Drosophila melanogaster: one gene and its partner. Changing the gene in region 1 together with any one later gene gives a genetic interaction. Each region holds a gene or a part of one and is shown in the gene's direction. Other genes may lie near its edges.

The links.
Region 2: of blow (region 1) and siz, changing one enhances a phenotype caused by changing the other (phenotypic enhancement), as found in Drosophila melanogaster (one study listed by BioGRID).

What each region holds. Positions count from the first base shown.
Region 1 is NT_033778.4:7,579,446-7,590,936, reverse strand, and holds blow (blown fuse), read left to right. Parts: upstream 1-3,857; 5' UTR 3,858-4,005; intron 4,006-5,451; exon of another isoform or gene 5,452-5,579; 5' UTR 5,580-5,826; coding exon 5,827-5,881; intron 5,882-6,714; exon of another isoform or gene 6,715-6,768; coding exon of another isoform or gene 6,769-6,802; intron 6,803-8,008; coding exon 8,009-8,323; intron 8,324-8,582; coding exon 8,583-10,147; 3' UTR 10,148-10,449; downstream 10,450-11,491. Other genes in the region: scra (scraps), read right to left, coding at 55-369, 476-493; CG1360 (uncharacterized protein), read left to right, coding at 1,248-1,342, 1,403-1,670, 1,966-2,433; Vps13 (vacuolar protein sorting 13), read right to left, coding at 10,466-10,708, 10,768-10,906, 10,978-11,261, 11,323-11,461.
Region 2 is NT_037436.4:21,031,329-21,039,609, forward strand, and holds the start of siz (schizo), read left to right. Parts: upstream 1-3,206; 5' UTR 3,207-3,590; coding exon 3,591-3,973; intron 3,974-8,281. Other genes in the region: Polr3E (RNA polymerase III subunit E), read left to right, coding at 561-593, 653-1,723, 1,788-2,144; CG10581 (uncharacterized protein), read right to left, coding at 2,232-2,755, 2,819-2,864.

The sequences.
Region 1 (11,491 bases):
GTGCAGCAAGGATGAGCAAAAGGGAAGAACCCAGAAAAGAACGGGAAAACTTACCCCAATTGGCTTGTCCGTGGTTATGTTTATCTCTATGCCCATATCCAAGTTTTCCTTGTTTACCGCCGTATAGTGACGCAGCGGCTTCGCCGGCGACGCCTCCAGCGTGGCCTTTCCCAACGTAACGACCTTGCCGCCGCCGCTAGCCGCGCTCTGGCCTCCAGGCGACCGGCTCCTCGGTGCCAGGACCCCAGCATCCCCGCCGGATGCGGAGGTGGCGGAGGAGCTTGGAACGCTGCACTCGACGAGCGGAAATTTGCTGGCATTGCTGATGCCAAGGGCGCGACTGCGCTGTTCCGCCTTCTCGAGCATGTGCTGCAAGGGAAAATGGGAAATAGCAGTGAAAATCCGCGGGTGCCTTCACTAACACCAGTGCAATCACCAGACAAAGGGCTTTGCTGTGTGCGAATTGGCCTCGTACCTGAGTAAACGGGTCCATTGTTGTTGCTGCAGCTGCAAATGCAAATGCGAGTTGTGATTGCGCGCACTATGCTATTGAATTCACTGTACTGCTCGACACTCCACGTTGGCGATATTTGATGTTTGTTTTTCACTGGCGGGTTGCGCGTCCGTTTGCATTCGAAATTCTGCGCGTCGCTTCTGCTCGTTTCGGCGGTTGGCTTTTCAGATGTGTTGAATAATTTCAAAACGACGCGCAAATGCCATAGGACCCTCAACTGACCACGACGAAATACCGAAATTGGGGAGAAAATGCCAGTGGTGAGTTGCCAAGGGCTGCCACTTTGTCGTATTTGGCAGGGTGGCAGCTCTGTCGCACATCAATGGTTAAACCGGTTCACCAATCACACATATTTACCGGTTTAATTTCGGCCGACAGCTGTTTATTTTTCTTAAAGCGTTATCAAAAAGGGTTTTTATTGATGTTATAATATGAATATCCAACCGTAATTTACCACGTATCACTTTCAATATTTATCACGCATAGCTGGTAAGTTAAGAACCTGGAATTAGGCTTGAAATGCACCTTTGATTTCTCTGGTGAGCTGCACACGTTGTGCCGTCAGTGCTGTATGTTTTGGCTAGAATTTTGGCATGTTTCCTCTATTTAGGCTACCTCTTTAAGTTTGGCTTTTCTGTTGGGGTTTCGTTAATTAATGTAGGAAAACATTTCTGGAAATAATTACGCTTAAATATATAGAATTTGTTTTTTCAGTAAATTGTCAGCGTCCGCCATGAGTGACCAAAAAACAGTAAATTTGCTGTGGAACTGTGCCTCCAAGCTGACCGACCAAACCCACACAGAACGGATCCTCAAATCCTATTACATGTGAGATCCGTTGTCAATTCCTTAAGCACCCACTAAAATTTCGTTTCCAAAACAACCCAGAACCACCTGTAGGAAGCTGGCCCGGCACAATGTCCAGTTGCCCGAGGAGAGCTTTGGACCCGCACGCATGTGCTCCCGCTGCGGGAACCAGTGGACAGGTGGCCGCTACCAGCTCCACCTCCAGCCACAAGAACTGATGCAGAGTGCTAAGAACCGGAGACTGATCACCAAGCTGGAAGCCGTGAAGGGCAAGATGGCAAAGGGCGAGATGAACAGCGGGGCCAGGAAACGGGCCAAGTGGCTCAAGAAGCGTATGGCCAGTAACATGGTGAGAACCAGGAGCTAATAGAATGTCTAGAATATGTCTAGATTGTGGGAAAAAATACTTTTATTTCTTTAATTTCATAAATATAAATATAATATCTCTTTGCTTCCATGGATGAATGGTATAGATGGATAGTTTAGTACCTTATAAGCGCAATATAAATTTATGTATCAAGCTTCTGGGCAAATAATAATTTAAATTAACACCAAGGAAGCTGAAAGATCTTTATACAGTGTTTTGTGTGTGTACATATGGACCCATTCCTGCCACTCTAACCACAACCCAATTCATTTTGCAGGCCGTGGACTGCGATGTTTGCCATCACAAGACAATGTTGGCTCTGGAGAAGAGCCGAAAGCGCGCCAAAGTAAAAGCCACGGAGGAGACAATGGTAGTCACACAACCTGCGCCAGCGGGCCAAAACAAAAAGAAGGCCAAAACGAAGAAGTCTCAGGCGCCGAATAAAGATATCAATGCAGGCCTGAAAATGCAGCAAAAAGCGCCTCAGCGACAGCAGCAGCCTTCGAAATCGCCAGCTCCATCCAAAAACGCGTCCCAACCAGTCGGCATAGCTTCCCAAAACCCAAGTCAGACATCGAAGAAGAAAAAGAAGAAGCCTGCCCAGCCAGCGCCCACCGCACCAAAAACGCAGTCCAAAACCCAGAAGCAGAACGTACTGCTGCAAATAGCTGCCCAGCTGAAGTCGAACGCGTTTAAAGACGCCAGCAAAACGCAGCAGAATCGCCTCCAAGCGTTCCTCAAGTAGCGGCCAGAAGACAGCTCCGGCCATGCATTAAAGTACAAAGAATGAAAATACTTGTTGTGGCACATAATTAAGCGTTAGCACAATACTAGAATCAGACTCTTTGTGCCGCTTGATAAAGCCAGCCGAGGTGGGAACCTGTTATCCACTCGCCCGGTCTTCTGGGTCGAATCACGCAACGGCTATGCACTTATCACTGCTGCCGGAGACAAGTCCAGGCGGGGGGACCCAAGGTTGTCCAGATATTGCGCAGCCAACCTGGTCAGCATGCTTAATTTATTTCTCGGAGCGCAACGTTTAATTAAAATTGAGTTGTTTGCCTCAGCATCCCATGAACGCGTCCTTCAAAACTGCTGCCCAAAAAGGGCAGCCGATCGGCTCTGGACGGGCCGCTTTATCTGCCGCCGATTGTGAAGAGCACACGCACAGGAGAAGGCTCCAGACTCGGCTTCGACCCATGGCCCTCTGCTTACCCCTTTCTGTGCCGAAGACTCGGATTTCTCGGCAGCTGCGGCAACAACATCTGCCTGCCACATTAGAAGATTTCTGGTTCCACAGACTAGCCACTCGGCACGAACATCTTGTATGCATGCACATGCAGAATGAGGAAAAAAAAGTTTACCTTAGGGAAATAATGCCATTTTAAGGACAGTTACTTAATATTAAGAAAATGTGATATACAAACATAAATTGTAATAGAGAGTCTTGAAATTATAATACAAATATGTACAATTATTCGCAATGTTTATATTGTTGTAAACAATAATATTCTGTAATTAAATATCTGAGAAAGGGGAGCCAGAACTTCGACTATCGAGCGTACATTGTGCGCAACAATGTATTTGATGGCAGATTGAGCACCTTTAAGTCGTTCTACTTATGGGAGCCCGACCGTAGTGTAGCGGCCTGTTTTGCCATTGCCAAAATGGGCATGATGCTCTCTAAAATATGATATCAGCAGCGTGATCGTCTCTCCAAATGTGGCAAGAGCGGTACAATTTTCGGGTGCCTACTCCAGGATGGGGTATCCGAATGGGACATGCCGCTTGGGCGTGGGCATCCAACTCCGCCAAGCCGGCCGGCTATTTATTCCACCGAAAAAGCAAAGCAAAGTCGTATAATATTTCACTGCAACACTAAAAAAGTCATCTAAATTTTGATAGAAGTTGGTCATATAAATCGCACTACTTCTTAGCGAACCTTCTTAGAATGGTTAACATAATCGTAGGCTGTTTAAACTTGTCTTATAGTTATGAATGAGTAATTTCTTTAGAATTGAAATTTTGCGTACCGAATTTAAGTTCAATTTTTTCGCGCCGTGCAGAGAGAGAGAGATCCAAAGCCGAGGGCACTTCGGCTGCGTTCGGGTGGCCATCGGCTGGCGGCGGCCCAAGCTGGCGCTCCTAGAGCGGACGAGCTCCAAGTCGGGCAGTTAAGCTCGAGTGATTCATGGTGGCGCAACAGCCGGAAAGTCGCGCTCGCTTCTTGGCTCCGGCGGTGAACAGTTCGCCCGCGAGCGAAAAGGTGTCAACGTAGTCAGAACGCAGTGGAAAACCGGATGCAAGACCGAAATCGGTGCGTGGATGCATTTCGTAATTCGTTATTGGGGGCTCCTCGGCAGCAGGAAGCCGGCCATTCGGGGGGATCGGAAATGACCGGAAGTGCGCAAGGAGCGCGCGGCGGAGTGGGGAGTGCGTTGGCGATGGCGATGGCAGTGGCAGTGGGGTGTCGGACACGCCTGCGCACAGGTTTCCATTGAGTTTCGGGGCCGGAAAAGTCTCGCGCGGCGAAGCCAGCTGGCCAACAGTTTGTTTGGCTTTTCCGCGGAACGACAGCCAGTTGGGAGCTCGCCATTCGATTCGATTATCCATTGCAAACAAAGGTGTCGCGGTCTCCAGTTGCAAATGTTCTGAATCAATAAATATACTATATATGTGTACATATTTTCAACGGCTGGCACAAAGGAAGCAAATACTTCGGCCGCTCGGTGCAAATCAAATTACATTTCTGTTTTATGGTCACGATAAAAAATAAAGAACCGAAAAGTAAAAGCTGTCTCTGGACACGTAGAAATGGCAGCGGGTGTATATAGTGAGGCCCAGAGAAATGGTCAGCAGTTCGCTTGTACAGTAGAACATGGCCATAAAGTTCGAGAAACTCTCTGACTGACTATCTATCTATCTATCTATCAATCAACCTAACTGACAATAACGTTCTGAAATATAGAAGTTATTTCAATATTTGCACACTAATAAGTTGGGTATTCAAATCGGTCAGTTTGAGATATTTTTCTTTGTAGCAGAGACAATTTTGGGTAAGCAGAAGTGCGAGAGTATTTGCATCTTCTCGCCGGACAGACGGTCGCTTCTTTGTGGCGACACGCGTCGCCCACAGATGAGTCACAATTAAAGGGCTTGGCCCCAAACAAGGGGCCCCGTCGCAGGCACAGGTCCCCAGTTTCAAGTCCCGGGTCCGAGCTCCTCTGCGTGTGGCCGCCCGATTTGTATGCGGTTCTTGGCCACAGCACAGTGGTAACCGCAAATGACAGGCACGCCAGAGGAGTGAAAACTGAAAATTATAAACAAAAACGGAGACACCCGACAAGTGCAGAGGCCCAATAAATGGGGATGTCGTAATGACACTTAATGGCAAGCACACACTGTTTCCCCATCAGCGAATCCAGATACTCTAGCCGCCAGATACCCAGAGATACATAACGTCATCGCTTGATTTTCATTTTCCATGGGGCGCCAAACGAAGCGTGCAACCGAAAAGGCGAAAAGAGCAGACAATAGTAAAAACGAAATATAGAGAATAGAGCGCAATAGAGATTGCATTGTATCTGAATGTCTGAATGTCTGGAAATCTGGTTGTCTGGATGTCTAGGTATCTGGATATCCGTGCTGCTGCATCGATGTCCCAGCTATTTATAGGTCGACTCCTCAGCGGGGGAGGTAGTTGCCGTGGCACGGCAGCATCGAGCATCTGATAGCCCGGGAATGGGTATATGCGTGTACCTTCAGTAGCACTCCGGTCGCAATCCGTTCCGCGCTCCACTCCCGTCATCGCAATCGAAGATAGTGCATCCGATCGGTTCTGCTGTGCATGTGATCTAATAAAAATACAAATGTGTTATCCCATTTTGACAGCAAACTGTTAATTTCTAAGGCAAAACGCCGTGTGGTGTGCAGTTGGTGGATATGCCAGATACAGATACAGATGACTATTCCGATCCAGATCGCAAAGAAGCCACAATAAAGCCCGGGCGAGAAATCAAGCGTTCGGCCGGCCAAACAACAACTAGCACTCAACGCACATTAACGCAAATCGCCTCAAATTAACACTGAACACTAAAATCGGAATACAAAAGTGCGGATACAATACTATTTAGAAGCCATGAATCCGAAACCAACAACTACCAAGCTGGCCGAAATTGAGCAGTTTTTGTTGGGTAAGCCAGGTTTTTCTCAAAGAATCGGTCTTGGGTGTTAATAGTATAAGTAGCTATTTATCAGCACATAAAAGTGCTTATGAGATACTCGTATTTGTTTAAGACAACTATTTAAAAGCGGTTGGAAAGCAGCAAAATAATCCTTGGTTTACAATAGCCAATCTCATATTTCTTCAAAACTTATTTTTATGATTTTTTTTTTTTTTTTTTTTTTTTTTTGTTTCCATCGATAGTGTTCCTATCTCATAAAGAAAATTCTACTTATGGCATACCTATTTTTCTGCGTGTAGCTAAAATCAGCAAAGCAAAATTGAAGCCAGTTAGTGTGAGATAGATCAACAGAAACTTTGTTAATTTCGCCAGGCAAACAGCGCCATCAAAAAATTACACACCGACTCAAAGTTGAGAAGAGATGGAGGAGGAGGAGGCGGAAGAGGAGGACGAGGAGGAGGAGGCGATCCAAAACATAACCATTAACAATAACCCAGTGCCGGAGTATTAGTATTGACTCATTCCGCAGGCGCCCGAGCTTAATACTCTTTTGTTCTTCTTTTGGCCTGTGACCAGACCATCGGACTCTTCTGGATATTTTAGTGGCCCTCCTCCTCTTCCTCCTCCTTCGCCTCGCGCGTATTTCGTACACTTTATCGAGTCCCAATTGGGCTCCTCTTTGGAGCGCTGTTCCCCCGAATCGTTTATATATATGTACATATATATATTTGTGGTTATTTCGTTAAATCATTCTACATGTGTATGTGGACGAGAAAGACAATAAACAGCGGATTGGACATGCCGCAGAACTAAGCCTTAAGCGCTCTTTTAGCCCATCTTGGACCTTCCCTAGTCGGTTCCACTTTCTCGGGTCTCGGTTCAGTGGCTCTCAGGGCATGATCAGGGGAATAGAGGAGCACGTACATATATGTATGTATATCCACCCTCCTCCGATGACTGTTGCTTCAATTTATATTTGTTTGTGTATGCCTCACATTGATACATATATCGTACAAATGAGTTTCTGAGGAGTTTCCCAACGATCCTGATTAAGACACAATTATCAACTTAGCAGTTGGTTTCTGCAACACATATTACAGCGAGACAAGCTTATTGATAACAAATATACATACTTATAATGTTTTATAGGATAAACTTCTTCATTATTATCCCATTTTAAATTGGTTAGTTTGCACCTAGTAATCTTTCCTCTGCTGTAGACTTAAAGGCCAAAGTCAGAGTGCTGATTTGGCATACAGATCAAACAAATTATACTTTTAATGCCCTTTTCCCTAATTCATTTGGTTGGAAAGATATGCACTGTCAAGATCCCCAATTATCCATAGTTTGGGAGCAAAAAGTTGCCTTTGCACGAAACGTTTTAACTGAACGGTTAAGTTAAGTCTTGTTTCCACTTCCTTAAAAAAAAAATTATCGCTCCTAACTATATATAATAAGAATTTGGCTTCAAGCTGAAACTATTATTTGTCCAAGGCGTTTTTAACAATTAAATGATGGAAAGTTGCCAAAAAAAACTCCAAGTGACCAAGCTCTTCTGGTTAAGATCTCAAATTCTTAAGGGCATTTCCAGTTCGCATTTCGCCAGCACGACTTTTGGATATTTTTCTTATTTCCATATTTGGACATATTACTTTTAAGAGCAGTTCACCGGAGCTTTGCGTGCTTGAGTTTTAACAAGATTTCGGGCAAATTTCAGCGTCTTCTGGTTTTCTGTGGATGTGGGCATTTCTGGACAGAGGGTGGGGTAACAGACACCAGAGTTAACTTTCTTGGTCAGTGAAATTATTTTTAATTGCCCCGGTCAATTCGCAGTTGACTCTTGAGCAAGAGCTTATGAGGTCACTTATGTACATGTACATGTACATACCCACATGCGTTTGTGACCGTACTTCTGGCTGGGAACGGTAGAGCCAGTGAGTCACGGCTGCAGAAGTCGGAGCAGAAGAGGCACCACCACTCCACTGGCCCACTAATTGCCCGCCCAAGAAAGCTACTCTGTTGCTCAACTGCCCCGCCATTAGGCTCAATGATGCGTTTAAAAATAATAGCCGATGGGGCCGCCGCCTTATTTAGCCAGCTGAAGAGCTTACGATCCTCCCCTCTGCTTGCTTTCAGATGTCCGCGCCCACTTCCGAGCCTCGCTGGAGACCTCGGAGTACGAGAACACCTCGAACCTATTCCATGTGACGGCCGCCGAGCAGACCGCCGCTCTTCTGGCCCGCTGCGAAATCCTGCTGGCTGCAGCCAGTTCTGCATCGGGATCGGGATCGGGACTGGAACTGGGATCAGGGCTGGGATGCGCAGACGAGCAGGCGGCAGCTAACCATCGTTCCAGCCTGGTCGACTGTGTCGATAGCAAGGTGGGCGCGGAGACCGGTCCCAGCGGTTATCTGGAGATGCTTGCCTCCCCGTCACCCTCGAAAAGCTCACGTGAGTGCTGAACACTACTCATACATATTACATACAGTCATGCTTCCCTAACTGAAATCCAAATAAACCATGCTAAAGTATACTGGTAACTTTTGTAAGCTCTACAATTATGTATTTATATTTAAAAAAAAACGGTACATTGTTGAAAGAGACTTAAACCAGCATAATGGTTGCAAAGCGGATAGCCAGGCTTTAGAAGCACTACTGTACCTGTACCTCTCTAATGCCTACAATTAGCACTAATTACCCGTAATTGCAGTGTCCGCCTCGCGGGAGTACATTGATTTGGGCAGCAGCGGATCCCTGGATCGTTGCTCCGTCAATCAACCGGTTCCGGCAGCGAAGGACAAGGAGCCACATCAGCAGCTCTACGAGATTTGCCAGGGCCAGGGAGCGGGCCAGGACGAGGATGAGGCGCAACAGGCGATCACCTTTACCCACGAGGTGTTCATTGACTGCCCGTATGCAGATCTGCCCGCTGGCCACTTGTCCCTGCAGAGGTCAACAAAGTACGGACAGCTGCAGAGGATTGTGCCCAAGCGGCTGTTCTTCGACCAGACCCGCAAGTGCTACTGTGGCATCCTCAACGATTGGATGCTGTGCTATGCCGACGGCCCGACCGCCTGTCGACCCAGCAGCACGCTCTACTTGAAGAGCTCCTCCATCGAGATTGAACACTTCGGAGAGGGGAAGCGGCGCGACATCTGCTTCCAGATCACAACAGACGACCCCAACAAGAAGTTCGTGTACCAGGCCAACAACGAAGTCGATGCCAAAGAGTGGATACACGCCATTGAGGCGGCCATCCGCGGAGATGCTGGTGCTCATTCAGCGTTAAAGACTCCACCGCCCCGGAAACTGCCCACGCCGCCGGTCCAAAAGAAATCCACCTACACAGCAGCGGATATCATCTACGAGGAGCCCTCGCCCGTGTATGGTCTCATAGACTCCTCCTCCATGGTGCTCCCTAAGCTGCCGGAGAAAAGCAACAGCCCAAGCGCCCTCGCCCGACGTTTCGAGTACGATGTGCCCAAATGCCCGGCACAGCCGCTGCAGGACACCTCCTCCAGGGTGGCATCTGTAAGTGGGGAGCTGGAATCCCTGGGACTACTCAACGAGGGAGATATTAAGGTGCAACCGCAGCCTTCCAGTTTGCACGGAAGCATATCGCTGGACTTCCAGGCCAGGGTGAAAACAGTGCACAGTGAGCTCTCCACCCAGTTATCAGCGGCCGGTCCCAGTCCGGATCGTCTGAAAAAGGCAGCGAAAAAGAGCTATTCGAATGGTAGTGAACCGGAGATGCTCTCTCCCCTGACCAGCCCCGTCCAAACGCCCACCAAGGATCAGAAGAAGCAGCGCAAGTCAACCACCTCACCGCAATCCAGTCCGGTCAGCAAGGACTGCGACAAGCTGGCACGAAACTGGTTCCTCAGTCGCCTTAACAAGAGCACCGGATTGAAGGCGACCAACACGGGCAGTGCATCACCAACCAACGCCAAGTGCAAGCAGAGCGAGAAGGAGAACCTGCTGACGGAAGCGGAGCTGGGCGAGGGCTATGATGCAAGTCCTGGTGATCGGTATCACGGCCTGCCGGGCAGCCCGCCCACGTCGCCGTGTCTGAAGGCGGAGGCCAAGAGCAAGGTGAACATGATTATCAACCAGTTTGAGAGTAGCGGTCACCTGTCCACCATGTTCAGCGTGGAAGCTTTGGCCGCCAATGCACTCGCCTCGCTGACATCCTTCTGCGAAAGTGATGGTTGCAACAACTACGAGCCAATCATGCCCCTGGCCACGACTCCCAGCAGCTTTCTCAAGAAGGTGTAGACTGCCGCACATCCGTCATCTGCTATTCACATCCGACGTCCTGGAGAGCTCGTTCGTCTCTGTATTGTAGATTTAATCCTTAGGCTAGTGAAAACCACTCTCCGGATGTCACATAACTTTGACATAAAATTTTAATATCAAAACCATGGTTGTTAACATACGTAAAAGTGCGACATGTAAGTTTGAGTTTTCCAATTGGGCGCACGGTGCTTGGACAGAAAAAATCTTGATGATCGAGGTAGATTTCCATGTCGTTGCTGCTGTCGTGGGGATGTGATTGGATTATAATATAGTTGGGAAATAAATTCAGTTCTATTGTCAATTATGAGCCGGATAGGCGATGGTGGCCCTTAACGGATTGGGATCGGAGCGCTGAGATTCTATAATGTCCACAAGAGCGTCACGTTTGCGCTCATCTGCCACGAGCACTAACTTTCGAGGTGACTCCTTGCTGCTAAACAGACCAAGTACCTTCTTGCCATCCGTCTTTACTGTGAACTGGACACCGCGAGCCGTTGCAGCCACGGAGCTAATCTCGTTCCATAGGTAGGACCAAAGAGACTGTGTGTAAAAGAAGTATAAGTAAGGTCCAACTACTGAAAGTTAACAGCAAAACTCACCGTCCAAACGCCGAACATCTCGTTACGTTGCACGTACATCACCCGGTAATTGGTCACCACCAAGTACTCGGACTTTTGGATAATCTCCTCACAGTGAATGAAGTTATCTGTGGTGGCAAATTTACCCTTGTCGGTTTCCCTGCGAGTATATTTGGTTAAGTTCGCGTTTTTTGTACTCCAGCTGAAAATCTAGTAGCTATCGACACTTACTTCATTATTTTATTCCCTGTCGCCTCCATCAAGCAATAGGGTCTCAACACGAAGTCGTAGTGCTGGAAACGCGGCGGTCGCATACGCTTCACATCCTCGCTTGCATCCGCCGCCCGTTTCACAGCCTCGAAGCTGCCACTGGCAAAGTCAACCACGCCAGCGGTGGGGCGAGCAACCAGGCCAATTGCACCCTTACCCAGGCCCTTGAAGAAGCCCTCGACCCCGTTATCGCGAGCCCCAGTCACTGGTTTGGTTACAACGCCAGTGACACCGTCCACAAAGCCCTGATAAAATTATAGAGTCATATGGATTTCAAACTGATGAACCACATAGATGAGGTCTTACCATCACTAGACCCTTGCTGCTGCGGGCCAATCCTTCGTGGAAGTTCTTCGGTTTGTTTTGAATACCCTGTCGTCGTTTCTTTTGATAGTCCTCGTCGAAGGTCAGCGCAGCCAAACCCTTTCCCATAGCACCAGTTATTCTAATGGTTGAAAATTGAAGTTGGTATTAG
Region 2 (8,281 bases), on another chromosome or scaffold:
TCGTGGTCGATTACAAAATCGGTATCGCCAATCGGTAGGCGGAAATTGTGTTTGCATTCTGTCTTTGCACAGTGGATGGGGACACATATATTTTAATAATTTGAAATTATTTAAATTTAGTGTTTATTATTTATGCACCGAAGAACTTTTGAAAATGTTTAATATAAACTATAAACTCGTTTCGCTTAATTTAAGGCAAGCATATATAATCACAGTACTTAATCGTATCTCACGGCTAAGTTCTAATAATTTGTGCACATCTTAAGATTAGAACCAGAGCTCTATATACATATATGTATTGAAATTATTTATTATATTTAATATACAACTTAGTCTTCTTAAAAGGGAATCACTTTAAATTACTATGACTTTTTGATGTTTTTCATAGTGAAAATGTATTATTCAATCTCGAGCCTAATGAGAGATAGTTCGAGTGATTGTATACCACTGTGCCGATCAGCTGTTTGCAGAGCTGGCTACCGAAGGAAGGCAACCTGGTCACACTGGATATTTAGGCGTGCACCGTCGGCAGACAAAACTATCAAATCGAAATTTAAATTATGGAAGACGAGGACGATCCCGTCGTGGAGGAGGTGAGTATGTGAGTGGCACTATTATTACCATGAGAACAATGCCCGCCCATCCCCACCAGATTCCCGTATTCCTGTCGAAGAACCTGAGGGACAGCCTGTATCTCTTTCAATACCCCACGAAAACGGAGCTCCCCAACCACGATGACTCCGTGATTGTCAATTGTTGTGTAAAACCAATCGCCCAGGAGGTGAAGGTGGACTTCGGCCTGGACATTGAGTCGGCCCACTTCGATCGCTTCAAGGGCGAGCAATTTGCGGTGGCCGCCGACGGAAAGAACACCTATGGAGCAGTTCCACCAAAGGGTCAGGAGCGACCCACCTACAAACGTGGCATCATGGACAAACAGGCCTTCACAAGCTCGCGTTCCATAACCGATGTGGCCAAGTACATAGTGGGCATCTTTACGGATCGGGAGGTGCATCTGTCGCCACTTACATCCATAGTCCAAATGCGACCCGTTCTCAGTCACTTCGATAAGGACGACAAGCGCAAGAAGGCGGAACTGAAGGCTCAAACGGAGGACACGGACGATGACGAGGTGCTGCAGCAGGTCACGGTTAAATTTGCACGAGGAAATGCCAAAAACAGCGGAAAGGAGCAACGTGTCGGCACCTACGACAGTTTCGTCCAGCGAATTGCGGATGAGCCGTGGTGCGAGGCCTACTGGCACTCGAGGGGCACGCCCACCGCCGAACTGGAGCGCCAGAAGCTCTTTGCCACCAGTCATCACGGCAGTTCCTCTTTGGCTCTCGCTCCTGACGAATATCTTCGAAAGCTTCTGCCCTACGACGAGCATGTGCAGACGGTAGCCCCAGCAGCTGCTTCTGCTGCCGCCCAAGTACTTCCCGTCTACAACAAGGCCATGCTTAAGTCTATGCCGCTGCTGGAACAGCTTACAGTGCTACTGAGAGATGCGCGGATGCTCTCGTTCAGCGACGTCATTAGTATTCTCGCGGAGCACGTGGATCCGCATGTGGCTGCCGACAAGGTGCTGGCTTTGCTGCCCCAGGTGGGCATCCTACTGCACGGCAACTGGGTGCCGAAATCCGAGGTGGTCTTTCCCGAGAAGGTGCTTTCCCATGCGAACGGTGTGTCCGCAGAGCAGATGATTCGCGCCAGAGATTATATAGTGAGTTATAGTATGGGTGTAGCGATCACTTATCTTGTACTAATCTCCTCAAATCCATCCGCAGCTCTTTCGTTTCTCCCGCACGCCCTACCTGTTCCGAGCTCAGGTAATGGCCGCCACCCAGTTACCTCCTGCGGAAACACTTGACGTTTTGAAGACTGTGGCCCGGGTGAATAACACAAAACGGTGGGAGCTGCTACTGCCACCCGACAAGGAGTTCGAGCAAAAGTACCCGGAACTGGTCAGCCGACAGGAGTACCACTGGACCGCTTCCGAGCAGCACTACAATGAAATGGACTGGGCTAGGGAAACCAAACGTGTTCGGAAACGTTCGACGAGGAAGAGCGAATCCCAGTCACTGACTTCAGCCATGCCGCCGCCCGCAATGAATCACTCAACAACTGGCTCCGTGGATGCGTAGCATCGGATGATGATCTCCCAGCGGCGGAGAATCGGCAGCACGATTATACATCTAGGCACTATTAAAAAGACCAACAATTTTACTTTGTTAAAGAAGTGCTTTTGTAATCTCTTCTGTAATCTCTCCAGCCAAGGCGTTCCTATTGAATTTGGTCACCTGGTAAATCTTGGATCCTGCTGACTTTCTCAGCTGCTCCACCAAAGCCAATGTTGATTTCTCGGGTATGGTGACCAATAGGGCCCGCTTTTTCTTCAGGAGATCAGCCATGGCCGACTCAAATCGCTTGCTAAGCAGCTCCATTTTGCCCACTTCATCCACGACCAGGAGATCCGGCTCTGGTTGGGAATCCTGTGTGCCAAGTACTGGCAGAGCGAGACTGTCGAAGTCCTGCACAAACACCGAATACTCTCCCACTTTGGGTCGTCGCAGCTGGTCCCCGGGATTCTTGCGAGATAGGATTGCTCGTTTTCCGGCTAACGTGACCACGTCGAAGCCGATTCTTTGGCTGGTGCCCTCACCTCGCATTTCCTCTGTGTAGAATCCTTGAAGAATGCGTCCTCTATCCTGCAGAGCCGAGCATATTTTGTGGACCAGTGTAGTTTTACCCACTCCTGAAAATCATGATTACATACATAATAAACAAATAGCAAATATTTTCCCAGCTAAATTTGCACCTGGTGGCCCAGTTAGTATAATGGTTATATTTTTTTGGTTCTTCATGTCGGCTTATTATTACAATACCAATTTTATAGAATATTTTTGTGGTGAACTAGATCAACCAGGAATGGATCATTGGCAGTTCCAAAATAAATCTTAATTAATGCACACATATTTAGATTTAATGAGTTTTAAATTTATCAAAGAAAGAAAATGCTTATGTATAATAATGAGCATAAACTTAAGATTGTTTATGCCCTTCTTAAATAAGATGAAAACAACAATATATTTTAAAATAAAACGGTCGTCTTAAAATGCCACATTTGATGCGGTATATTTTTTGAATACGATAGCGTATTTTGAGTTGCATGCTCTATGGTCACACTGCGGTGCCCCCCAGCACGTCCACACTGTTTCCAAACGTCGAACGACGAGTGCGTCGTGTTTTTCGTCGCGCGTGAATTGAAAATCCGTAATTCCGAGAATATTCGTAATCCCCCTCCGATCCGCACCAACTGTTGCTCGCGATTCGAAGTGCTGGCTCTGAAGTATAATATACGAAGGTCATTCAATTACAATACGAGTGAAGTTTCAACTCGCAGCAAGCTGCATTTTCAGTTCTTATTGTGAGATTCAAAGTGGTTCTGCCTGTTTCGCTGTTTTATCACCCTCTCCACCACCTTCCCTCATTCGCGCGAGTGCGTGTGCGTGGCGGGGCTATAATGTTTTGGCCACAAAAGCACATCGATTAGGAGTGCAGCCGATCCCCGCTAAGGTTATAAACAAAACATGTCCGAGGCCGATCTGAAGAATCTATCCCAGAACTCGGATGGCGACCAGGAATTGCTGCTGCATCAGACCACGCAGTCCCTGCTGATGGCCAGCTCCATAATGTTTGTGGGAAACCAAGGAGGGCCGGGCGGTTCCGCTGGGGGTGTCGCCCCACCTGGACCCGTTTCCCTGCCCCTGCCCCTCTCCATCAACATGCCCCATCACCATGTGCATGCGATGCCCTACAATGTGGACGAGCTGCTCCGGGAGAACAATGCCCTGCACGCCAAGATCAAGGAGTTGAGTCTGGAACGCGATCGCCTGCTCTGTGAAGTGTCCAATCTGCGACTGGAGCTGGACATGTCGGAGCTCAAGCGACTGCCCGTCGATCTCGATGATAAGTGAGTGCCCACCAATGTTTACTATCTAGTAATATATTCAAATATCTGTTAAATAAGGGTGAATTAATGGCATATCATATTTTCCTATTGGACATCCCGCTTAAATGGAAACTTCCAATAGGAAGAGATGCACTTTAAAATTGCGGTTGCAAAATAATTTTCATGGCATTTGGGGGCCAGAAAAAATTTGCAATGTTCAGCAATTTGATTTCAACATATTTAAAAAGAATTTTGTCGATATTGTTCTAGATGTGTCAACGAGCATTTTACATATTACAAAGAACAATTTCTCACTAAATACTCTGTAAAATGCGGTTGTTTATTTTGTGATCTCATTAAGAGCCAAAATATTCCATTAAGTAATTATAATCAGTCAGGAGATAGTATTCATCTTTAAATTGATTATATTTTGAAACAATATATATTTAAAATCTTTTCTGCTATACTACCTACTTTTAAAGCTCTTCTTTAATGCTTCTTATCAGAGCGGCATTTCGCTTTTAAGTTTCAGGTCAAGGCCTTTGATATATCTGTATATATTGTAGTTTTATTTATACCATAATTTAATCTGCACATAGGCCAGTTTTTTATTTCCCTTTTCTGATTAGAAATTAACATTTTAGCTGATAAGAAAAAGAGCTGGAATACATAATTCATTCAGTGAAGATCCTTACTTTATATTTTGTGGTTGTGTGATCTTAAAACAAAAACTTGAAGCCAAAGTACCATTTCTTCTTCAGCACTCAAACAAAACCACAAAAATCATTGATTTTTTTTTTGGATCGCCATTTTCGGCTGCATTTCCGTGACCCCCAACTCCAATGTTTCCTTGCCCCCGGGTTGAGTCAACTTCTCGTTGAGTCACATTCATTCGTCCCCTTGTCCTTGCCACCTTGGCAGCTGCAGGCTGACAAGTCGGAGTGCGACTTCTGGTTTTTGCAACCCCTTTTTGCACGCCGGTCTACCTGTGGGCTAATCGACACAGTCGTGGTCGCAAAATGAAGTGCACCGTGGCGATAGGTATTTCCGTACATAAAAAACTCATGCTTATCTGTAACAGAACAATAGATAATGTTGTATTTATTTCGTTGCCAAATTGAATGAGTCAGTTGTGCTGTGATAGAACTACAGTTGCTCTCCGCTTATCGATCGACCAGAATTCTCTATTTGTTTAGTTCTGCTGATAACTAATGTGTAGTGCTACTTCGGGCGATAAGAGCCGTCTCAGGGAAATTCAATGTTAAGACCGAGTTTCGATCACTTATTTGGGGTCTTTCCAGGGGAGATTAACCTCACAAATGCATGGGCAAACAAGAAAAGAAATATTATAAACCATTCGCCTGGCATTTTGCCATTGACAGTCGAATAAAGTTGGGAGTATCTTAATATTCGTACCTGACTTTGCTTTGCATGCGGTCATGCCCCACCGCAGACAATCTTTTAAATACAGATATTTTCGTATATATGATGTATACATATACAAAGTGGGCGCAAATAAAGCGCAGTTATCTTTTAACCGTTTTCTTTATTTTCGGGGCTTCTTGGCCTCTAAGGTCTGCTAGTAGTAGAATCGTGGGCTCTTCCAATTATTCGCTTAGCGTTTTCTGTTTATTTTTTATGTCTCGGTTTTTGCAGCTCACCTTCGCCAAAACTTTGAAACACAAAACACCAGAAACTTTTAAACTCGCATTCGTCGAATGTATAGATACTCTTTTAGAATTGTTATTTATTGTCACGTTTTTATATGAATAATCACTTCAGATATCTTATATATAAATTAATCTTTCAGATCAGATTATTTTGAATAATGATAATTTAGTTGATAGAGCATAAATGAAATTGGGAAAAATGCAGGATTTGCTTATCAAACGTTCCCTGCATATAAGGTACATTTCCTCATTTGTACCACCATTTTTTACGTTTTAATTAGCGAATCTAAATGTAATGTAAAAATGCTTACCACGGCTTAGATCCACTTTCAGATTAGAGTTGTACAAGATAAGCTGCACGCACCTAGTTGGCATATCTTTCATTATGGAAAAGAGTATGTCACGATGAGACATTAAACTCAAGATCAGAGATGTTGTTGAAATTGTGCGGGTAGCTTTCTGTCTTATGAGTACGGTTCCGCTGCTCCATGAATGTTGTTGTTTCTCTCTGTACACTGGGAGAACTTACGTGACTCACAATTAAAGCATTTTATTTATTACCATCATTAAAAAATAAACAAAAACAAAATGATTATACACATTTTCGTTTGATTTATACATATATTCTTAAAGCTTAAAAGTAACCCGAAAATAATTATATTTTTTAACAGTGTAGTCAACTATGTCGTTTCTTGGCTTGCCGCAGAGTTCAACTCATTAGCCAGTTATCATCATCTAATAAAGCAGACACACGCACCACAGAAAAATGGGAAATGCGGAAAAGGGGGCGGAGGAAAACACTTGCCCATTTGAAAAGTGCTTTTAACTTTGCTCTGGGTCTCTCTTTGTGATAATTAAGCGAGTGTAGTGGAGAGTCTATTAATTTCGTACGACCCCCCTTTTAAAATGGCAATGGTGGGGCTTTCCAGGGGGTGGAGCGGAGTGGTCAAGATGGGGCGGATGGAATAACGTTTTCCGACTACTTAATGAGTGTGTACTGTATTCTGTAACTTTAGTAGGTGAAGTAGTTCTCTGGCCTTCTTGCCACTACTACTCTGCTCTTTCATTTGCATGCAACATTTGGAGTGAAGACTGCGGTTGCCTTATTACAAAAGGGGGCGTAGTTGAGGGGGGGGGGGGATACCGGGGGACTGGAAGTTTGATGGTCAAAATGGAAGCCATGCGTGCTGCGAACATCTTTGAGGTTTGAGAGCAAAACTTTTGTTTTAATTAAAAGATATGCCAAATGGACATGCAAGTTGGGGGCTGGATGATCTAAATGCACCAGCAGATGGGAACTACTTTGAAAATGGGGGCGGAGTTGAAAATGAGATAGTAATTGCACTAATAACATGCTGATTTTTAAGTGATTCCCACTGAAGCCTTTGTTTCAGCCACAGATCCAGATGGTTTCTTAATTGCGGTCACTTTTTTTGTGGTGTTAACCCAATTCAGTAAAGGGAGTACTTCTATTTCTTTCTATAGTTTGCGAAAGATTTTTTGTGGTTTGTTCGATTATTTCCCTCAGGGTTAAAGTCCAGAAGAAACTATTTAAAATGTTGTGTGTTGTGGTGAATCCTATTACCGCTTTTAAAACTATTTGAACTAAAATGTAATATGTAAATTGAATATATGTAATCCTTGAAGTATATAGGCCTTCTAAAATGTATTTTCTAAAGACCTAACAATTTATAAGTTCAAGCTGATGAAAAACAAATTGAATACAATTTCCTTCTGCTATTTCAATTATTATGACAAAGTACTTATCCATCACCAGTAATTTCTCTCAATTATTTCAGATGCGGAAGTGTTTAGATACCATAACTTTCCTTCCAAAGTTCTCGATTGCAAATTAACACAATTAAGTTGATCCCTTTTCTGGGTTGTGATCCAGTGATCCCCGAACACATCTGGATAGTTGGGGCAAGCATGTGTCGGTGCTTCAGACTAGACCATTTATTTATTATGCATGCAATAAACGAAAACAAATTTCTCGGTTTTCAATCGAAAAGTGAGATCATCAACGCGCTGGCCAGCCGAAGAACAATAATTAAAATCATTTATATGAAATGTTTAATAAACAATGTCATTGCCAAACTGTGCTGGCTCATGTGTTCCAACTAAACTGTCAAGTCACAGCTGAAAAAAAGCGCTTGCGAAAAATTCCAGTTGGCTTAAAGTCTTCGGGGGATTAGTTTTCAAACGAAGCATGTAATCAATTAGAGGGCGTCCCGCTTGGGATTTAGCTTTTTGCATATGTTACGTACTTGTTTCCTTTTTTCCTTTTTATTTGTATTTGTATTTGTATTTGTATACAACGCGCGCAGCTCGTTACGCAGATACTAAGAGATACAATGATTGATGAGACATGCGTTCACGTTGTCCCTGCCCAAAGTGACAACTTCCGAGTCGATTTGCCCCATTCAGCGGAACTCGCTACCAATTCCAAATCCGAAATGCCAACTAGAACGCTTATTGCTCCAGTGGCTTGTCAATCGTGTTTGGCATTGACAGAGGCCCAGTACGCTTTACATGGCCATAAGTCCCGGTCTTGGCCATCTTCTGGTCATTTTTGCTCGGTTCTGACGGCTGCGCATGCGCCCCAAAAATGGCCATCCTCATGTGCCAGAGACTCGAACTACAAACTATAATGGTCAAC